Oryzias latipes: one gene and its partners. The protein of the gene in region 1 interacts with the protein of each later gene in a pairwise test. Links are inferred from orthologs where the notes say so. Each region holds a gene or a part of one and is shown on either strand. Other genes may lie near its edges. The genes, in order: wwp1, arrdc1, cpsf6 and mothers against decapentaplegic homolog 3.

Region 1 (4,335 bases):
AACCCTACAAATTAGAATTTGCCATGTAACATTTGAAAAGAGGGCTTTTAAGTTTACTGCAGTAATAGCTATCATTTCAGTGTATGTGAAGTGCTTGAACAAAATCTGTACCACTGCATGTTCTCAATAGAGCTTAAAGATGCTGACAACACCTGAATAAACATCACAGGATCAAACCGTGTGTTATCAGGCGGTTCTAGCTTTTAATCAAGTTTTTTTCTTACCCTGGTGGTAGAGGATCAGATGATGCAGCATTAGAGAGCGGCTGCCTGGGCTTGACCCCGTCTGAGGTTGTCGTTGCATTGCCGCTGCTGCTGCCGCCGCCGCCCCCGTCTCCGGAAGCATTTACTTCTGCCGTGGGCGGGGAGGAAGAGGACGAACAGGAGGGTGTTGTGGCGGTGCTGGTCCCTTGGGTTGCATAGGCCAATGTGGTGGAAGCAGCGGCGGTGGTGTCTGCAGGTTTAGCACCGGCAGAGGAGGCTACAGGAGACGCGGAAGTTGTCCGAGGCGGCGACGTGCTGTTCGGGGCGGCAGGAGAGTCGGCCTCTCCAGCGCCGTCCTCGTGGCCGCCTGTGGGGGGCACATCCGTTCTTGCTGAGGACGTTTGCCTGGCAGCAGCCTCGCTGGACTCCCCATTTACTGCAAACACAGGACAATGACGGTTTTTATTTGTTCGCATCATCTGACTTTTTGACATCAAAAACATGTGCAACTGTTGCATCACATGTACACTTAGGAAAAATGAAGAAGTCTGTGGTAAAATATTCTTCTCAGCCTCAATGGCTGCTTAATAAGAAGAGAATGAAAACAAAATCAACATTCAGAACAATAAACTTTTTATCTTAAAAATAGAAAGTATTGTATTGTCCAATAGCTGGATATGTTGGTGTAATGCCACCATGATTGACGTACTTCAGATATAACAACTTTTCTGAGGATTAAAAATAAAACTTGGACTTTGAGAACTATCAGTGTAAACTGTTATTTTCATAGTTAATTTAAAAAAAAGAACATTGTCAAGTAGAGCTGTGATGGTGTGGGATTTTTGATGAACCAGCAGGGGGCGCGGTGTCGCGGTTAACCGCACATTACTAGCAGTCACCAATGCAGAGATTTTTTGTTTTGTTTGTTTTATTTTTTTCAAATCACTTTTCCCCAGAGTTTGCACTTTGTAGACCCCTTGACAGCTGTCTCTTTATCTGCAGCACAGAGAGCCATTCTCGTTAAAAAGTGTGTTTACCAAAACAATCATCTGATTTCAATCGAGTCTGAAACTACGTGATTGGGATCAGTTTCTGATCACGTGATCGGATCGGGACATCCCTACCTAAAACTACTCTTTTTGTCATTTCAAACTTGAACACAATAAAGATTTGTTTAGGGAGCATAAATGTGAACAAAATGACATTTTTAGGAATTCTTTTCAGAGAAAAGATCAACAGACTTTAGAATTGAGAACATAGAAGACAAACTCACCTATTCTATTTTGTGTCTCGCCGTCGAATGGCTGGTGGACTGGAGTGGAGTTTAGGGTTGTCTCTCCGTTGACCGCATGATCCCGAGCTGGGCTACAGGAGCTGGAAGGCACCTGACCTTCAGCGCCACTGGAGGCTGAACAGGAACCTGACCTCGGGTCCAAATCTGAACCATTCATTGTGCTTGAGGGAGAAGAAAGAGAAGACAAGAAGGAGATTGTAAATGAAATGCAATGACGAAACGAGATATCAGCGGCGTAATGAGCACAACTGAAAGGCTTTCTTTGTGAGCTGTAGCTTTTCAGGTAATGTCAGAGACAAACCTGCAGAACGACCAAACCAAAACCAGCCATAGAACTAAAGCTCAGCTAAGCCAAGACCTACAGCAGGGAATCAACGATCAATCAGTTAAACAACCAAATCTTTAGCTTTTTGCAAACTAAAAATTATAATAATTTGCAATAAGCTTTAAAGCAATATTATTTTTCAAGACATGAACAATTTAAGCAGTTCAATAAAAAACATTTCTAAATTCAGCACCAAAGCCTAAATATAAAGGCTGCTGTACTTATTTAAAGCAGAGTCTTCTGGCTCAAAACTGTACGGCTGGTTAGCCCCAACTTTACTCGCCATTTTTGTTGCACCGCTAACGACAGGTTGGGGTTGTGAGGGACTGTAAACTAGCAGGAAAGACTGCAAACAAAGGGATGATGGGAAATAAAAGCAGTCTCAACCTTGCGCCAATTTTCCCATCTACAAATCAGTAATGAATTTCTCAAACTCTGCAGAAAACGACAAGTTTTTTGACTAAAACCAGCAAATAGATCCAAATATGATCAGAGTGGGACTTCGAATCCTTGTTGGCAGCACACAACAAAACAAATATCCTAATCTCTGCAAGTTTGCTTAAAACCAAACACATCAGAAAGCTGGTCTTCAGATGCTTTTTATGGAGTGTTCCCATCTTCGCCTCACAGCGAGAAGATCCTGGTGTGGTTTGAATCCCTGCTGGGTCCTTTCTGTGTGGAATTTGCATGTTTGCCTGTGCACGTGTTGACTTCTTCCCACAGTCCAAAAACATGCTTCATAGGTAAATAATGATTCTAAATTGTCCCTAGATGTGAGTGTGGTTGTGTGGCCCTGCTAGAGACTGACAACCTGTTAAGGGTGTACCCTGCCTCTGCCCAACAGTAGCTGGGATAGGCTCCAGCAACACTGTGACCCCCAAAAGGGATTCTACAGGTTCTGAAGATGGATGGATATTTTCCCGTTTCTTTTAATGGGTAGTTTCCACTCTACAGCGAGAAAGAGCTTTGGCACATTCCTCCAGAGACTTTATAACACAATAGGGAGTAGGAAACTTTGTATAATGGCATTAAAACGCTCTAAGCAATGTCTAAGCAGGTTAATGCCAAGCAGCACTGCTAATCTAGGGGTCCTGCTGACCTTGAGAGAAGGAAATGACTTGAATCAAGTTTGGAGAAAATGTATTTACAAAATGAAACAAGCTGGATAGTTGTGATCAGCACCATAAATGTTTTTGTTTAACTGCACCACACCACCCACATTGTTTCCTTCTCTGACTTCCTGTTTCGCTCACATCAATCAATCAGCACAATACTTGTAACTTACATGTTGTACAAAAAAACAAAGTCTTTGACATATTAAGAAACATCATAACACACAGACTAAAGAATAAATCAGGTTTCAGCTCAGTTAAAAAAAAGACAGACTAGTCCTTTCGAATCACACTTGCTTTCACAAATGTAAAATATGTTTTATAAAAAAGGATTATGTCATGTATTTCTGTTAAACAGACGGGATTGGTTAATGCATTACTGGACAGAACTGATGCTTTTACTGTTACACAAGAACTGCTGGATGGATAATTAGATTTAAAAGAAGAAAAAGAGATTACTTCATCTTGGACATTTAAAAATGGAGCACTTGTTCTTTTTACTTTTTAAGGGAAAGTTTAAAATAATAACCTACAATTCCTCTTAACGTTCTGTTTAAGTAATTGGTGTGATGACAGCACTTTAAAAAAAAGGTTCTTCCCTGTTAAACTTATGTAACAGAAGAAGAATCAGCATTTCTTCTTGCATTTTCCATGATATTCATGCTATTCATTCACAAAGCGGGAAGTTACACTAAACTTCCGTCTTCCTCGACACATATACCGTATTGCACCTGTCTCACTCTTACCTTTTCTCCTCGAGTGCAACTGGCGGCCGTTTAGAAAAAATGCATTAATTTTTTTTTTTTAAATGCATAAAAAAGCGTTGAACAAGAGTAGCAGTTTATAATCCGGAAATTACTGTAATTCCTAGGTTCCACCTGTTTTTGGACGGTGGGAGGAAGCTGGAGCCCCCGGAGAAAAACCCCCGCATGCACGGGGAGAACATAGAAACTCCACACAGGGGGGTCCCCCATTGATGTTCTGTTTCAGGTCCCCCAGCTGGGACGTGAACTGGGGGCGTTCTTGCTGTGAGGCAATAGTGCCACCGTGCAGCTCTAAAAAATATCTCAAACTTTTCCACAATATTGTCATTTGTCCATTGTCTTGTTCCCTTCTGAAAGACACCTGTCTCATTTACAATCAAAAAGAGGTTGAATATTTTGGTTAAATGAAAGTAACTTCAAGTCAAAATGTGGCAGATGGATGAATGAATTATTTTTTGCTTGACAATTCTTCATCTTTTGTTATGCTCTTGTATTATAAAAAAATGTGCCACTAAAAACAAAATAGAGAAAAGTCTGCTAATAAAACTCGTCAACACTACAATCTGGTTCTCTCATGTTGATTTTGAAAGTAATTTATGACTTCAATTGTCCACAGAACTTTTTGTTTTTTTAGAAG
Region 2 (4,930 bases), on another chromosome or scaffold:
AATTCAATAAAAAGCAACAACACTTTCCCACAACACTGGAGGAACTTTAACTCGTCTTCTTAACTGTGTTTGAACCCCCTCCCCACTACCTAACCCCAAAAAGACTAGTGCGGGACTATCTAGTGCCCTGGATTTTATTGCAGTTCAGACACAACCTCATTACCTTTCCCCTCAAATGTCACCAATTTGCCAAAGTAAAACCCTAAATATGAGCCTTTAGCAGAGACGGATAAATAAAAAACGTACTTCCATACACTTTTTTCAAATGGCGCATCGTTCCAACACAGTGCATTGTGGTCTAGATTAGAGGATGAACTGGTTCCTCCGTCTGCTCCACTGCAGGGTCATGGTTGCAGTTTGTTTTAAACAGATGTTGCAGCGATTTGATGCTTATCTGCTCTCTGTTCTCCCACTGCTGCAGTTACTGACTTGGCGGTTTTGTCTTACACAGATCATCTGGTGTTTGTCTATTTTCTGTCTTCTCAAATCCCAGCAGATTGATATTTCTATTTGTTGGCATAAATAAAAAATCACAAAAGTATTAAAAAAAACTTCCTGTTTAGTTACCAGGTTTATTTTCAGAAAGCATAAAAATCATTGGAATACACTATGATGGGAGTAAAACCTTGGATTTAGATAGTTAATAAGGACTTTATTTAAAATATTATTTGAAATAAATGTTTGGGTTTTGTTTTTCCAAATGAAATGTAGCCACGACGGGGCCCAAGCCAGGGTCCCATTGTGCTGGTCCCAAGCCCGGATAAAGACAGAGGGTTGTGTCAGGAACAGAATCTGATGTAAAGTCTTTGCCAAACCAAATATGCGAATCAGACCTATGATATCCATAACATTAAACAGCTGGTTGATGAGTATTCTGCATTATTGAAAAAAAATAACAATAAATCCTTTTCTGAGAAAAGACTCCTAGTTTCTGTCTTAAATGCAGATTTATTTTTATTTTGAAGTTGAAGGCTCTTCCTCTGTTTCCCCACTGGAACTTTCCAAATACGTTTTTTGGTTATTTTGCTAGCTTGGAGTTTCAATTTAGCGGCAGCCGCTTTAGGGTTTTGTACACGTGACCGAGTCAAAATCCAGAACATCCAACTCAAGAACGAGTTGGATGTGGTGGAGAGAACCCAGTAGTGTTCCAAAATAAAACTTCCTTCAGAATCAGATTATAAATAAAATGAGGGGGGGGGGGGGGTAGGTTGTGCTTTTACCAACTGTCCCTCGGACCGGTACTGGTCCACAGCCCAGGGACCACTGGATTAGCCGACAACAGTGATCTTTGGTATCCATGTGCGGCTTGAGTAAGATTCTCTTCAATCTTTTGTTCAAATCAAGCAGCTTTAGCTGCTATAACTGAAGTAAATCATTCTTTTGGGGGTCTTTTCCATGTTGCCACAGCACATCAAATGCATCAGTTTTAGATCAACTCCTCCTGCAGTGAACGGAGTGGTGGGCCTCAGATCAGGTCGTAACAGACGATCCCTCTGCAGTTCGGGACTTTCCGCCATGAAGAAAAGCTCCATCATTGGATTTCCGTCCCTGCAGTCCCCGTTGGTGGCAGGGGCTTTGTACCTGCCTGCCACTGAGGGGCGCCTCAGTCTGACCAGGGTCACCTCACACAATGGACCCTCTGTTTCCTCCAACCTGCTATCCTCCTTATGACTACAGGTTTGGGAGAAAGATCTTAAAAAGGAATCCGATGTCTTAGAAAGCTCACTCTGTCTGTTCTATATTTCCGGGTTTTGATTTCAAATAATTATTGTGTCAGAATCAGGCAAATGCATCAAACTGAGTAAAAAGCAGTTAGGTAACCTCCTAGGATGGGGGGTTAAAAGACACCTGCAGACTGAGCTTCAGGTTCAGCTTGAGTCACATCGTCTCTGTCCTCAAACAATTTTTGGGGAAATCTCTGCCTCCCATCTGTCAGGCATGGTGGTGGAGTGCTGGTCATATGGGCTTGTCTCTGAATGCCAAAAAGTTACAATGTGGAGCTGGTATTTTAAAGAGCATCACGCAGCCCAACACAGAAGAGCACAAAGAGGAGAGCCGATCATAAACCAACAAAAAACTATCAGACAGACAGACAGACCCTCCGCCTGTAGGAAGTGCGCACGGACTCGTTCTTTTACACTACATGAACCGAGTTTCCCCTTGAACCCAGAATTCAGAAGTTCCGGTGTCCTTACCCCCCCCCCCCCCCACACACACACACACACACACACATACACACACCACCACCACCTGATCGCTTGTTGTTATTTTTGGGAGATTCATCCGCGCTAAAGAACAGCCCGTCCCAGCAGGCTCGCTCGTTTAGCAGAAACTTTACAACAGCAGCTTTTCAGCCGCGCGCTCCCATCCCTGCACCGTCGCGAGGCAAAAGTTTCACCTCACCGACTGAGTGATGCACAGGCGCCGCTAGCGGAAGCGCGCGCAGCCCAGCACCCCCCCCCCCCCCCTCCCCCGTACCTTTGTAATGCAGCGCGCTGCTGGTCCGGATCCTCACGACCCCGCTGACGGACTCCCCCGGACCGTAGACCACCTTGTTGTTGGTGTAGAAGATGTCAAACTCCTGCAGCTTCCCCATGGCTCTGCTCTCCGCTCTGCCGCGCGCTCACCTGCTGCCGCGAGCTGCTCTCCGCCCTCCACGGGGACTGTGACGTCACCGTGACCTCCTCCGAATCCCAGCCGCGAGCTCAGGGACAAACGTTAACGGACAAATGAGTCGATTCTGCCTCAGAAACAGACCCACAAACTTCACCGGAATCCCCTCACGGTCATACCTGCCACAGGTGCTTTTTGATACTGTGACGTCATCCGACTCTAATCTCCGTTCTCGAGTGGGACTTGGTTGGTTCTATGGGTCTTGGATTGTGACGTCAGCCGGGAAGGTGGGTTCTGCACCTTTCAGCTTTTTAGGTGTTGGACGTAGAAGCGCTGAATGCAGACAGGTGTGTCCTCACTACAGGCGCCTTACTCCACAGCAGGCCTTCCTGTTTGATCAAAGTTTAACCTGAAAATAAATAACTAAATGAAACTGAGAAGGAGCTAAAAGCAACTCAGTTCCTGTCAGGACATGCAAATGATGGAGTTTCTTAATGTAGAAAAAAGACAAAACATAAAATAAACATATATCTGCATTAGTAGGTGCTCCTGCTTTTATCTAAAACATATTACAAATGTTAATTTACAAATGTTAATTTACAAATGTTAATTTACAAATGTTAATTTTAAACCAAAAAAGTTCAGTTTTGGTGTTAGGCCGGCTACTTTATTCATAAAATGTTTGTAATATGATCCTTTAAAAAGAGAAAATAAGTTACTTTAGTTAAAACCTCAAGAATCATGTTGGCAAATAACTTTTATATTTATATATTTAGTAATAAAATGTTAATAAAATAAAACAAAATACCAAGGCAAGACTATAGGAAATAACCAAAAACATTTCATAATCTCTGGAGTATTTTGAGAAAAACAAATGTTCCTCATTTGTTGTTTTTTAATAGCACTCTTACCCTTCCCCTCCTTGAATAAAGAAATACTCAGAAATGTAGTTTTTATTTTATTTTTCTTTAAATGGTTGGAGCGGCTGTGGAGCAGAGGTACAGCGGTCGACCTCTGATCGGAACACTGCAGGTTCGGTTCCCACCCATGTGCCGAAGAGTCTTTGAGCAAGACACTGAACCTCACATTGCTGCTGGTGGTCATAGGTTGATGCCAGTGTTCAGCAGCAGTGTGTGGGTGTGTGTGTGTGTGTGTGTGTGTGTGTGTGTGTGTGTGTGTGTGTGTGTGTGTGTGTGTGGGCGAGTGTGACTGTTAAGTGCTTCTGGCTTTCTGAGAGGGTAGGAAAGTGGTATATGAGGGCACTCCACTTACCATAAATGTCCTCATCATCAGAAAAATGCCACAATAACATGTTAAAAACACCGTTTTCCTCAGAGTGAGCCTTTAAATTGGATTCATGTTGGACTCATCCTCACAAACACGGACAGCGTTGGCCTCAGACTGATCAAAGGTAAAGGTTTCAATCAATGGGATTTTTATTGTAAATGTTTAATACAATTCTTTCTTTTTTTGCCACAGAAAAACAACAGTTTTCTCATCTTTCTAAAGTTTGCAGGAACTCAAATGTTCTTTCCGTTTCTGAGGGCTAAGTTGTCTTAGCGGTGCTTCCTGGCTGAAACTGTACTTGTCGTCTCACATCAGCAGCTGGAGCTGCAGGTGCACAGAGATGCTTGTTTCCTCCTCTCGATATCCAAAACGTCCAAATCTAAACGTGATGCCAAATACGCAGGAACAGACTTTTCTCCTTTTAATTTTTACTTTCCACCATCCTATCAGATTTATCTTTTTTAGCTGTTTTTTTCCTCTAAACTAAAGGACCGGCATTTCCATGACGACAGACAAACGGGACTGTTGCCAAGAGACTGCTGTATCCATGGTAATCTTGCATGTGGTAACATCTGATCAGGGCTTAAGAGCCCCTTCATTTTTGTTGTTGTTGTTGCTTATTTTTTTTTTTTGGGGGGGGGGGGGGGGGGGGGGCAAAGACACCCTGCGATGGACTGGCGACCTGTCCAGGGTGTTCCCTGCCTTCGCCCATGAGTGGCTGGGATAGGCTCCAGCAGGCCCGTGACCCCAAAAGGCACAAACGGAAGAAGATGAATGAATGAATGAAAAAAAGGCCAAAGACATGTGAGGGTGCTCTGACAGATTCTTGAAACAGGATGTGATGTCAGGTTTGTCTTTCAGTCCTGAGGTGGATCCACGTCAGCTCCAAGTTCTGGGATTCGATAAAAAATTCATTTGTTTTGGAGTTTAGTCAAACAGTAAATATCTTGAAGATATTTTTCCTGATATTAAAGCATGTAACAGCTAATGTAATAGCGCCCTCTAGTGGAGAATAGAAGATTCATTGTTC
Region 3 (5,033 bases), on another chromosome or scaffold:
AAGGGGTTTGATGAATCAACCAAAGCAGACTAGATGAAGGCCCAGTCAGAAATGTCTTATATGAGTGGTATCAGAAATATTTAAGTTAAAAGTTGGAAGGGTCATACTTTTATCCCTAATTTTTACATGTTTTAAGACTAATTACATTTTACCTGCCACAATTTTAAAACGTTTTTCTGCCTTTTTTTGTCTTGTGCACTTTCACCATGTAATTAAATTGTTCTTGAAGTTAAAGCAAAAAAAAGTTTTTCTTTTGCATAACATTTTGCCTCAGGTTTTTTTTTAAGTATCTGTAATGCTCTGCTGAAAAAAATAAGTAAACAACTTTAAAAGAAAAAAGAATCACAATGGTATCTATCTAATGATAATAACATTTGTTAATGTTGATTTATTTACCAATAAATTACAATGTATTTTTATATTGATTTAACTGAACGCTTCTTTTTTTCAAACTTCTTTTTTTCTTCCATTTTTGCATGTTAAAAAGATTTACTTCTAATATATTTGTTACCTTTTTTATATTCTTTTTAACTAAAACATTTAAAATGGTCTGACTGAAATTATTATTTTTGTTGTTGTTGTCTTTGGTTGTGTTATTGACAGAGGTAAAATCTAATATATATGAAATGTTTATGATTTTTTTTAGGAGGAGCTAAAACTTGGAATGTGATTTTGTTCTTTTGTTCTGTTTTTTTCCTTTGTAAAACAAACCTGTAAATTGTTCTTATGAAAGTATTACATGGATTAAAGCCATTATTTATAAAATAAAAGATCCACAAAGTTGTTTTTATTACATTTACTTTGACTGTGTGTCATTTCTGTTTGTCTCCTTTTATTCACCTATTATTTATAAACTTATAGTTTCATATAAATGAGCAGTAAATTTATAAAGATATAGTATGATAGCAGTGGTTGTTTCAACAAATTGGATTGTGAATGACAGATGATTTCAAAAAATAAAACTTTATTTTCCAATAAAGTTTTACAAAATTACTTTTTAAGGTAAAATCCTATGTGTTATAGTTATTATTGTATCCTTTACATCAGAGTAAGTATTCAAATGTTGATCAAAAGCCAGATTTAAATTTATTTATATGACATTATTGATAAAATGTCTAATATAGTGTAAAATGTGAGTCTACAAATAATACACCAAAATAGAATGTTTTGTGTCTTGTCAATGTACTTAAAATATTCATTCATTCATTAATTCATTTTCTTAACCGTTTATTCCCTTTCGGGGTCACGGGGCTGCTGGAGCCTATCCCAGCCACTTGGGCGTCTTAAAATATTTATATTTTTAATTTGAAAAAAATATTATAGTATAATTACAGCAATACCTAATACACAGGAAACTATATAGTTGGAGATCATGTTTCACTCTTCTCTTTACACATAACTTTGCTTTTTATTTTCACTTTTAACTTTGTTGTCAAGAATTGTTACAATTTTTATTAAAAGACCATTTCTTCCAGCGATTTGTGTCAAATTTGCTGAAATTTTCAATCAACAAAACAGTAATGGCAGGTGCACAGCTGTACGTAGAAAAAAGCGTGATCTATTCTATCTATTTGAGTTCTTTTAGAAATTGCATTTCCATTGTTGTGAAAATCATTTATTAATAAATAAATAGATATTGAATTCCTCTTTTAAATGCGTAATTACAAAATACATAACAGAATAATTTATATTTTTTATAGATGTCGTATTCAGTAGTATGAATGTTTAAAGTGAAATGCAGATGATCAATGAATCCGTCATTCCCAGCAGAGCAGGCTGTAGTTAGTGAATACGACCAGCAGGGGCGCTGATGCATCTCCCGGAGTTATTGTTTGTAGCTCCGATCCTCTGCACCGCCAGGCGGACGGAGGCACGAAGCAGAGGAAAATGGCGGACGGTGTGGATCATATCGACATCTACGCCGACGTAGAAGAGGAATTTAATCAGGTATTAAAATAAAATATTCTCGAGTTTGTTCAGTGCTTTGAAGTTCTTTTTCTAATTTTTGCAATGGTCTTTTCGGCGTTATAGGAAAAATAGGTGTAATTTGATGCTCGTGCTAGCTTCTCCACTAGCAATACACACACAGGCCTCTGTCAGTCAGTGTGCTGCGTTGGTTGCAGCATAGATAGCAAACTTCTGTACAATAGATCTGCATTTTTTATTCAAACAGTAGTACACATGTGGAGGTAAATGTGATGTGGGTTATTATTTAGAATATGTACATTTTTGTCCATCAGCAAAGCGTCTAGCAGCCTTTTCAGTGGAGCGCGCGTATAGGCCGCGCAGTGTGTGCTTTCTTTTTTTTTTTTTCTCCCGACGGAGGCTGTTAACCAAACACGCATTTCATGATAAGCTAGCTGGTGTTGGTTAACTTCACACGTTTAATTGGTTTACTGTATTGGACGTGGGTTATAGTTTGGATCAAATGTAACTTGGTGTACTTTTAAAAACGTCAAAAATAAAAACAAAAGGGGAAAACACGAGTTACACGGCTTCCATTCTGGCAGCAGGTTGGGTCATCATGCATGGTGGGTGTTTTTTTTTATTCTTGCGCGCGCGCACATTAAAAACCGCGCCCCCCTTTTTAGACCGCATACTAAAATCATAACTTACTGACATTTGTTTTGCACAGAATTTGTTATGGTATTATACTGTCGGAGCTAAACATTTAAAAATAAATGTTTTTTTTCCTTGTTTCTTATTAAAATTGTTTAGCTAAACTTAATTAAGAGCCAGTGACTTAAAAATTATTAGTCATGTTTTAGTTTTTTTTAACATTTCTTTAAGTTTACTACTCTTTTTTTCCTCATAAAGCGTGACATAAAATAAAGAGAAAAAAATGCTTTTGGAATTTAATTAATTTAAATCAATTTATTATAGTAATTTGCTTTTTCTAGTAACCATTTTTACTTTTAAATTCTGGTGTAATTTCTTTTATTTCAGCTTCTTCTTGTTGACTAACTCTCTAGCACTATTTGGTCTCCATGTTTTATTATAGCTGCAGCAATTTCCAGTAAAACAGGGAGCTAAGTAAGCGTCTGGTGATATGCAGTAAACTTCTATAGATTAGGGGTCAACAGCATTTGTGACATAAAGTGCCATTTTGAAATTTAGAATGTAAAAAAGTTCAATATGTCTAGAAATGTATTTAATTCCCAACAGCAGGCATTTTGGCATTACCTCAAAGACGTTCTTTCATAACAATATTGCACAAGGAAAATAGGCCAAACTTAAAAAGTGAACTTAAATAACTTAAAACTATGTTAGTTTGAAACAAAAAGTACAGCATTTGTGGTACATCATACTGTATACGTCATGTAAATTAAATCTATCATGGTGTTTTTATTGCATGTAAAAGTAAATGTTTTACTTTGACCTTAGAATGCTAATTATAGTAATATAAATTTTCCACAATTGGACATTCTTCATTTTTTTTCACCCCCAGTAAATGGAGTGGCGATCAGCTGTACTATTCATTTTAAAACTTTTTCTCATTTCACATTTACATTTGTCAGAACATAAAAAAGTCAGGGTATAATCTGACCTTATTTGGTATTATCAACAAACTGAGCTTATAACTTCATAAATGGCAGTCGCTGTGACATCCTAAATATAATTAAAAAACCGGCTGTGCATTCATTAACCTTTAGCGCGTTTCCCGCTTATGCATGCGCTCATCGTATTGCCCCACCTGTCATCTCACCGCCAACAGCTTCAAAACACAGGGTCATTACGTCACCGTGGCAAACTTGTTTTTTTTGCCTGCAGTGCACAATCATTTAAATCACCCGTTCATAAAGGCAGAAAGTAACGTACATTGTGTGAAACTAGGCCTGCACAATATATCGCAAATTTATCGTTATCGCGACATTAAGCTGTGCAATATGCATACCACAAAAGACGGCGAAAATCGCAATAAATGGTTACCTTAAATGTGCTAAAACAATCTCGTGGCAGCTTGAAATATTGAACAAATGAAATAAATCCCTTTATGCATTTAACCAATCGGAAGGACCCATTTACGTTGTTGATCAATCAGATGAGCCCTTTTATGTTTGATGTTTGCCTCCTATGTCGACAAGGGTCATTTGGAGTATAATTTTTAAACTGTTGCAGTGAAATGGAAATTATGTTTTTGGTTGTTTTGCTGTTTGTTTATATACCGCGAATCATATCGTTATCGCAATATTAATCACCAATATCGCATATCGCGAGTTTTCCTCATATCGTGCAGCCCTATGTGAAACTATAAAAGTGGTTGGGGTCACAGTAACAGCGCTGCTTGAATGGACCATTTCCTTTTGGCCCCATAGGGGTGACAAAAGCTCATTGTGAGAAGAGATTGTCACTGTTTTTAATCCCGAAAGATGCAAAGAGGCGACAGATCCAAGTGGTTAATGTTGTCACAGCCACTGTCTTTCCCTCTGCGTCCCAGTTGTGGCAAACTGCCAATTCGATAAGCAACTTACCTTAGATTAGACAGATACATCTGTTTCAATCGTAAGAAAATAAATCGATTCGTTGATTAATCGTTACACCCCTGTACATTACTAAAAATAATATCCATCCATAATATCTTTCACTTAAAAGATGCATTTCTACATCCCCAGTTTTTATAAACGTTGAGCCACAGTTTCAGGTTCTTGTGGAATTGAACCCCACATGTTTTGCTTTAACTGTGTTAACTCATTTTTCTTTTAAAGGAATCGGAGTATCCAGTTCACGAGCAGATTGACTTGTACGATGATGTGATATCCCCATCTGCCAATAATGGAGATGCTCCAGAAGACAGGGACTACATGGATTCAATGCCTCCATCTGGCGGTTCTGACGGAGGGAAGAGTAATCCACCCAATGTGGTGTACACCTATACAGGCAAACGGATTGCTTTGTACATCGGCAACCTTACATGGGTGGGTTTCAACCATTCAAATTAAATAATTAGAAGTTTCATTGTCAATTTCGACTAAATGCTAAGAAAGTAGTATTGATAATTTGTCTCTTTTTATTATTGTTCTTTTTTTACAGTG
Region 4 (3,046 bases), on another chromosome or scaffold:
CAATCAGAATAGTACAATATGTGGTGTGCTTTTAAGTCCTTTTTCAAAACGTTCAATATATTATATAACAAAACCATAAAGGACAGAAAAGGTATTTTGTAAATCTACAAAGCTTCTCTTGAAATGAATGCAGGCTCTTTTAACGAACGCCTGATGAGCCGAGCGCTTCCATCCACTGGGCTCTGACCAAAATCCGTTTAAAATTTTCCCCATCAGGAGGACATTCTCCTCCTGGTGACTTTTGATGAATTCCATCAACTTTAAATACTCAATAAAGTACTACAATCAACTACACTTCCAGCGTAACATTTTTGTTAGTTCAAATTTAAACATTGTTTCCTTGATTTTTTTTTTTTTCCTGTTTAATTTTATTTCTTTAAAACACTAACCTGTAGTGAAACATCTGGCTATTTTCCTTATCAAAGTGACCCTCAGTCCTGTTTAGATCACAAATGTAATCAAAGTTTGCAGTGAACGCTTTTATACAATATTTAAAAGTGAAATTAAAGTCTTCCTAACCAGTCAAATCCCAAAAAGACAAACAAAGTCAAGTAAACGTTCATAATTACATGGGTTTTAAAGGGAACAACAACGCATAAAAATGTCAACAATTTATTTTTTCTATGTTTTTTAAAGATAATTGAGTGTAAAATGTATCCAACAGCTATAAACAATAAACAAGACATTAAAAAAAAACAGGAAATAAAAAAATAATTCTGCCTTTCTGGCTATCAGATGCCAAAAATGACAATGACCTTCAAAAAAAAAAAGAAAAAAGAAAAAAGACCAATATGCTGAGATCCTCCTAAACTGATACTGCATTAATGCACGTGTCCCCTTTTTGCAACTAGAAAATAAAAAAAGTGCTACTGGCAGCGAGGAGGGACAAACAGTGGCTGGATGAGAGGCGTGTCATCATGTAGTTCTCGGGCTGCTCTTCCTATCTGTGTTTTCAGTTTCGTGAAAGGGGGGGGGGGGGGGGGGGGCAGGGAAGCTCCCCCTAGGAGACACTGGAGCAGTGGATGCTTGGGGAGCCCATCTGTGTCAGCACCTTGTCGAGCCACTGCAGAGGGCCGTTCAGGTGGAGCTCGATCCAGCAGGGGGTGCTGGTCACTGTCTGCCGCCTGGGACGCACACACAGACAACAGATGGTGAGGATGCAGAACCAGCCGCTCTGCCTGTAAGTAAACACATCAAGTCCTGGAAAAACAAACACCTGATCGATTTTAGCCCTGATATTTGGCATATGCAATCAAACTGGATCTATTCTGAGCTGCAGCTGAACTTCCTGCTGTTTAGTAAGACGAGGCTTCGACTTTTCTGTGAATTATGGCAATTATTATTGCACAGCGTCATAAAACTGCTTTAACAAGACGGCAAGGTTTTGTTCTGTCTGGCACTGAATCTGATCATGGAAACAAGATAAGATGTTTTTCACATTCATAGAACACTTAAAACTAGAGTCACTGTCTGAAGCTGTTTTTTATCCCTTTATTTATATAAGAGACACCCATTGAGACGGAACTCTTTTCACCTGGGAGATACCCGGGTCAACCTCTGTTCACGGAACAGCTCCTCTTAAGAGCCTTGCTCAAGGGCATTACAGCAGTGGAGCAAAGGCTTTTTTACTTTACTATGACTTTTTCAAGTCAGAATTGGGACTTGAACCAATGACCAACCAGCCAAGGGTTCATGTCAGTGACCAGTAGGCCAGCCCTCCACACACATCAGCTGGATTTGTAACCCGTGACTGTTGATTTTCTTTCTCCACGTCAAAGCGCGTCTGCAGCCTCTGTCAGGGTTACTTAAACAAGAGTTCAAGAACAGAACGTTTAGCAATTTCTGAGAACTTTCGTTCCAAAATGACCTATTGGCAGACCCACTCTGATGTAAATTGTGTTGTGTTTGTAATCATGGCGAATTAGGAGCAGAAATACAGTTGGCGAAAGCCTGTAGAGGTGACATACAAGCTATAATTAGTGGGCAACAAGCTCCCTGCTCTGCTCCATTCTGATGTATCCACTTGCAGACAAATAGATCCATGAACGTCTTTGTTTTCCTCGTCTGAACTGTTATCTGCTCCAACATTGCTCCCCGTTTTTGTTGCATCTGCAATGTTCGGTTGGGGCTGTAAGCTAGTGGGAGAAAGTGTAATCAGATGGATGACGGGAAATAGGGGCGGGCTTACTTTGCACCAATGGGGTTGCCCTCAATTCAGAGGTAAATTTCTAATGAACTAATGTTTTATTTGTTTTTTTTGACTGAAAATCCTCATTAAAAGAGCAGTGGGGATACTTTTACAATAGATCAAAGAGGATTGGAGTGGGACTTTAAATGAGGCCGTACTTTGACCAATAAGGCAGAAAGACAAAAAATACGATTTGAAGCTTGATCTTGAAGCGTCTTTTGTCAAATGTGCTACATTCAAAGTGGACTGATCTTCATGTCTTTTACATTTTTTGCTGTATAGCTGTTTATATTTGATATGCTTCTTTTTCTAAACTTTCTCCTTCTTGAATCTTTACGATTCTTTTGTTCTCTCTGACCTCAGAATGGACAGGACAGACTGGAGCTGATAACGAGAACAGTGGGATTGAACTTTGATGATTCAGGGTTTGGATCCAGATGTTTCACATTTTTAAGGCAGAAATAAAAAAAATTTGAACAAAGGGATTAAACTGCTGGCTCTGTGTTAAAAGTCTCATCAAGCTAAAGGATGCAGAAGTTTTGGAATCAACTGGACAGCAGCTCACCGGATACAACACAAATGCTTCCCAATGTCGGCTCCTTTAAAGTATTCATTCATGTGAAGCAGTTTTTAAACTGAATGACAAAAACGTGGAGGGACAAAGGAGTTAAAGCAGATCTGTAGTGAAAACAGAGAAAGGTAGGTGGAGGTGGAGTGGAAAGAGGCCTGTCTGATCACGTAACCTGAATCCTGTTTTTTAAGTGTCTCCACATGTCAGCGTCTGGTCTGGACAGGAATGAAGAGCAGCCGCTTGCAGCACAAAACTCTCCCTTGTGGAAATCTCTCACAGGCCCAACT

Evidence for each region.
Region 2: the proteins of wwp1 (region 1) and arrdc1 interact in binary tests that used the Homo sapiens proteins (3 or more experiments, as listed by UniProt). The link is inferred for Oryzias latipes from reciprocal best matches to the Homo sapiens genes WWP1 and ARRDC1.
Region 3: the proteins of wwp1 (region 1) and cpsf6 interact in binary tests that used the Homo sapiens proteins (3 or more experiments, as listed by UniProt). The link is inferred for Oryzias latipes from reciprocal best matches to the Homo sapiens genes WWP1 and CPSF6.
Region 4: the proteins of wwp1 (region 1) and mothers against decapentaplegic homolog 3 interact in binary tests that used the Homo sapiens proteins (3 or more experiments, as listed by UniProt). The two-hybrid records come from large-scale screens. The link is inferred for Oryzias latipes from reciprocal best matches to the Homo sapiens genes WWP1 and SMAD3.

What each region holds. Positions count from the first base shown.
Region 1 is NC_019878.2:10,288,661-10,292,995, forward strand, and holds part of wwp1 (NEDD4-like E3 ubiquitin-protein ligase WWP1), read right to left. Parts: intron 1,659-4,335; coding exon 1,477-1,658; intron 640-1,476; coding exon 225-639; intron 1-224. UniProt on the Homo sapiens protein: E3 ubiquitin-protein ligase which accepts ubiquitin from an E2 ubiquitin-conjugating enzyme in the form of a thioester and then directly transfers the ubiquitin to targeted substrates.
Region 2 is NC_019870.2:26,761,990-26,766,919, forward strand, and holds the start of arrdc1 (arrestin domain-containing protein 1), read right to left. Parts: upstream 3,133-4,930; 5' UTR 2,597-3,132; coding exon 2,479-2,596; intron 1-2,478. UniProt on the Homo sapiens protein: Functions as an adapter recruiting ubiquitin-protein ligases to their specific substrates. Through an ubiquitination-dependent mechanism plays for instance a role in the incorporation of SLC11A2 into extracellular vesicles.
Region 3 is NC_019881.2:14,391,715-14,396,747, reverse strand, and holds the start of cpsf6 (cleavage and polyadenylation specificity factor subunit 6), read left to right. Parts: upstream 1-1,836; 5' UTR 1,837-1,887; coding exon 1,888-1,947; intron 1,948-4,706; coding exon 4,707-4,916; intron 4,917-5,031; coding exon 5,032-5,033. UniProt on the Homo sapiens protein: Component of the cleavage factor Im (CFIm) complex that functions as an activator of the pre-mRNA 3'-end cleavage and polyadenylation processing required for the maturation of pre-mRNA into functional mRNAs.
Region 4 is NC_019861.2:12,625,822-12,628,867, forward strand, and holds part of mothers against decapentaplegic homolog 3, read right to left. Parts: intron 1,125-3,046; coding exon 1,001-1,124; 3' UTR 1-1,000. UniProt on the Homo sapiens protein: Receptor-regulated SMAD (R-SMAD) that is an intracellular signal transducer and transcriptional modulator activated by TGF-beta (transforming growth factor) and activin type 1 receptor kinases.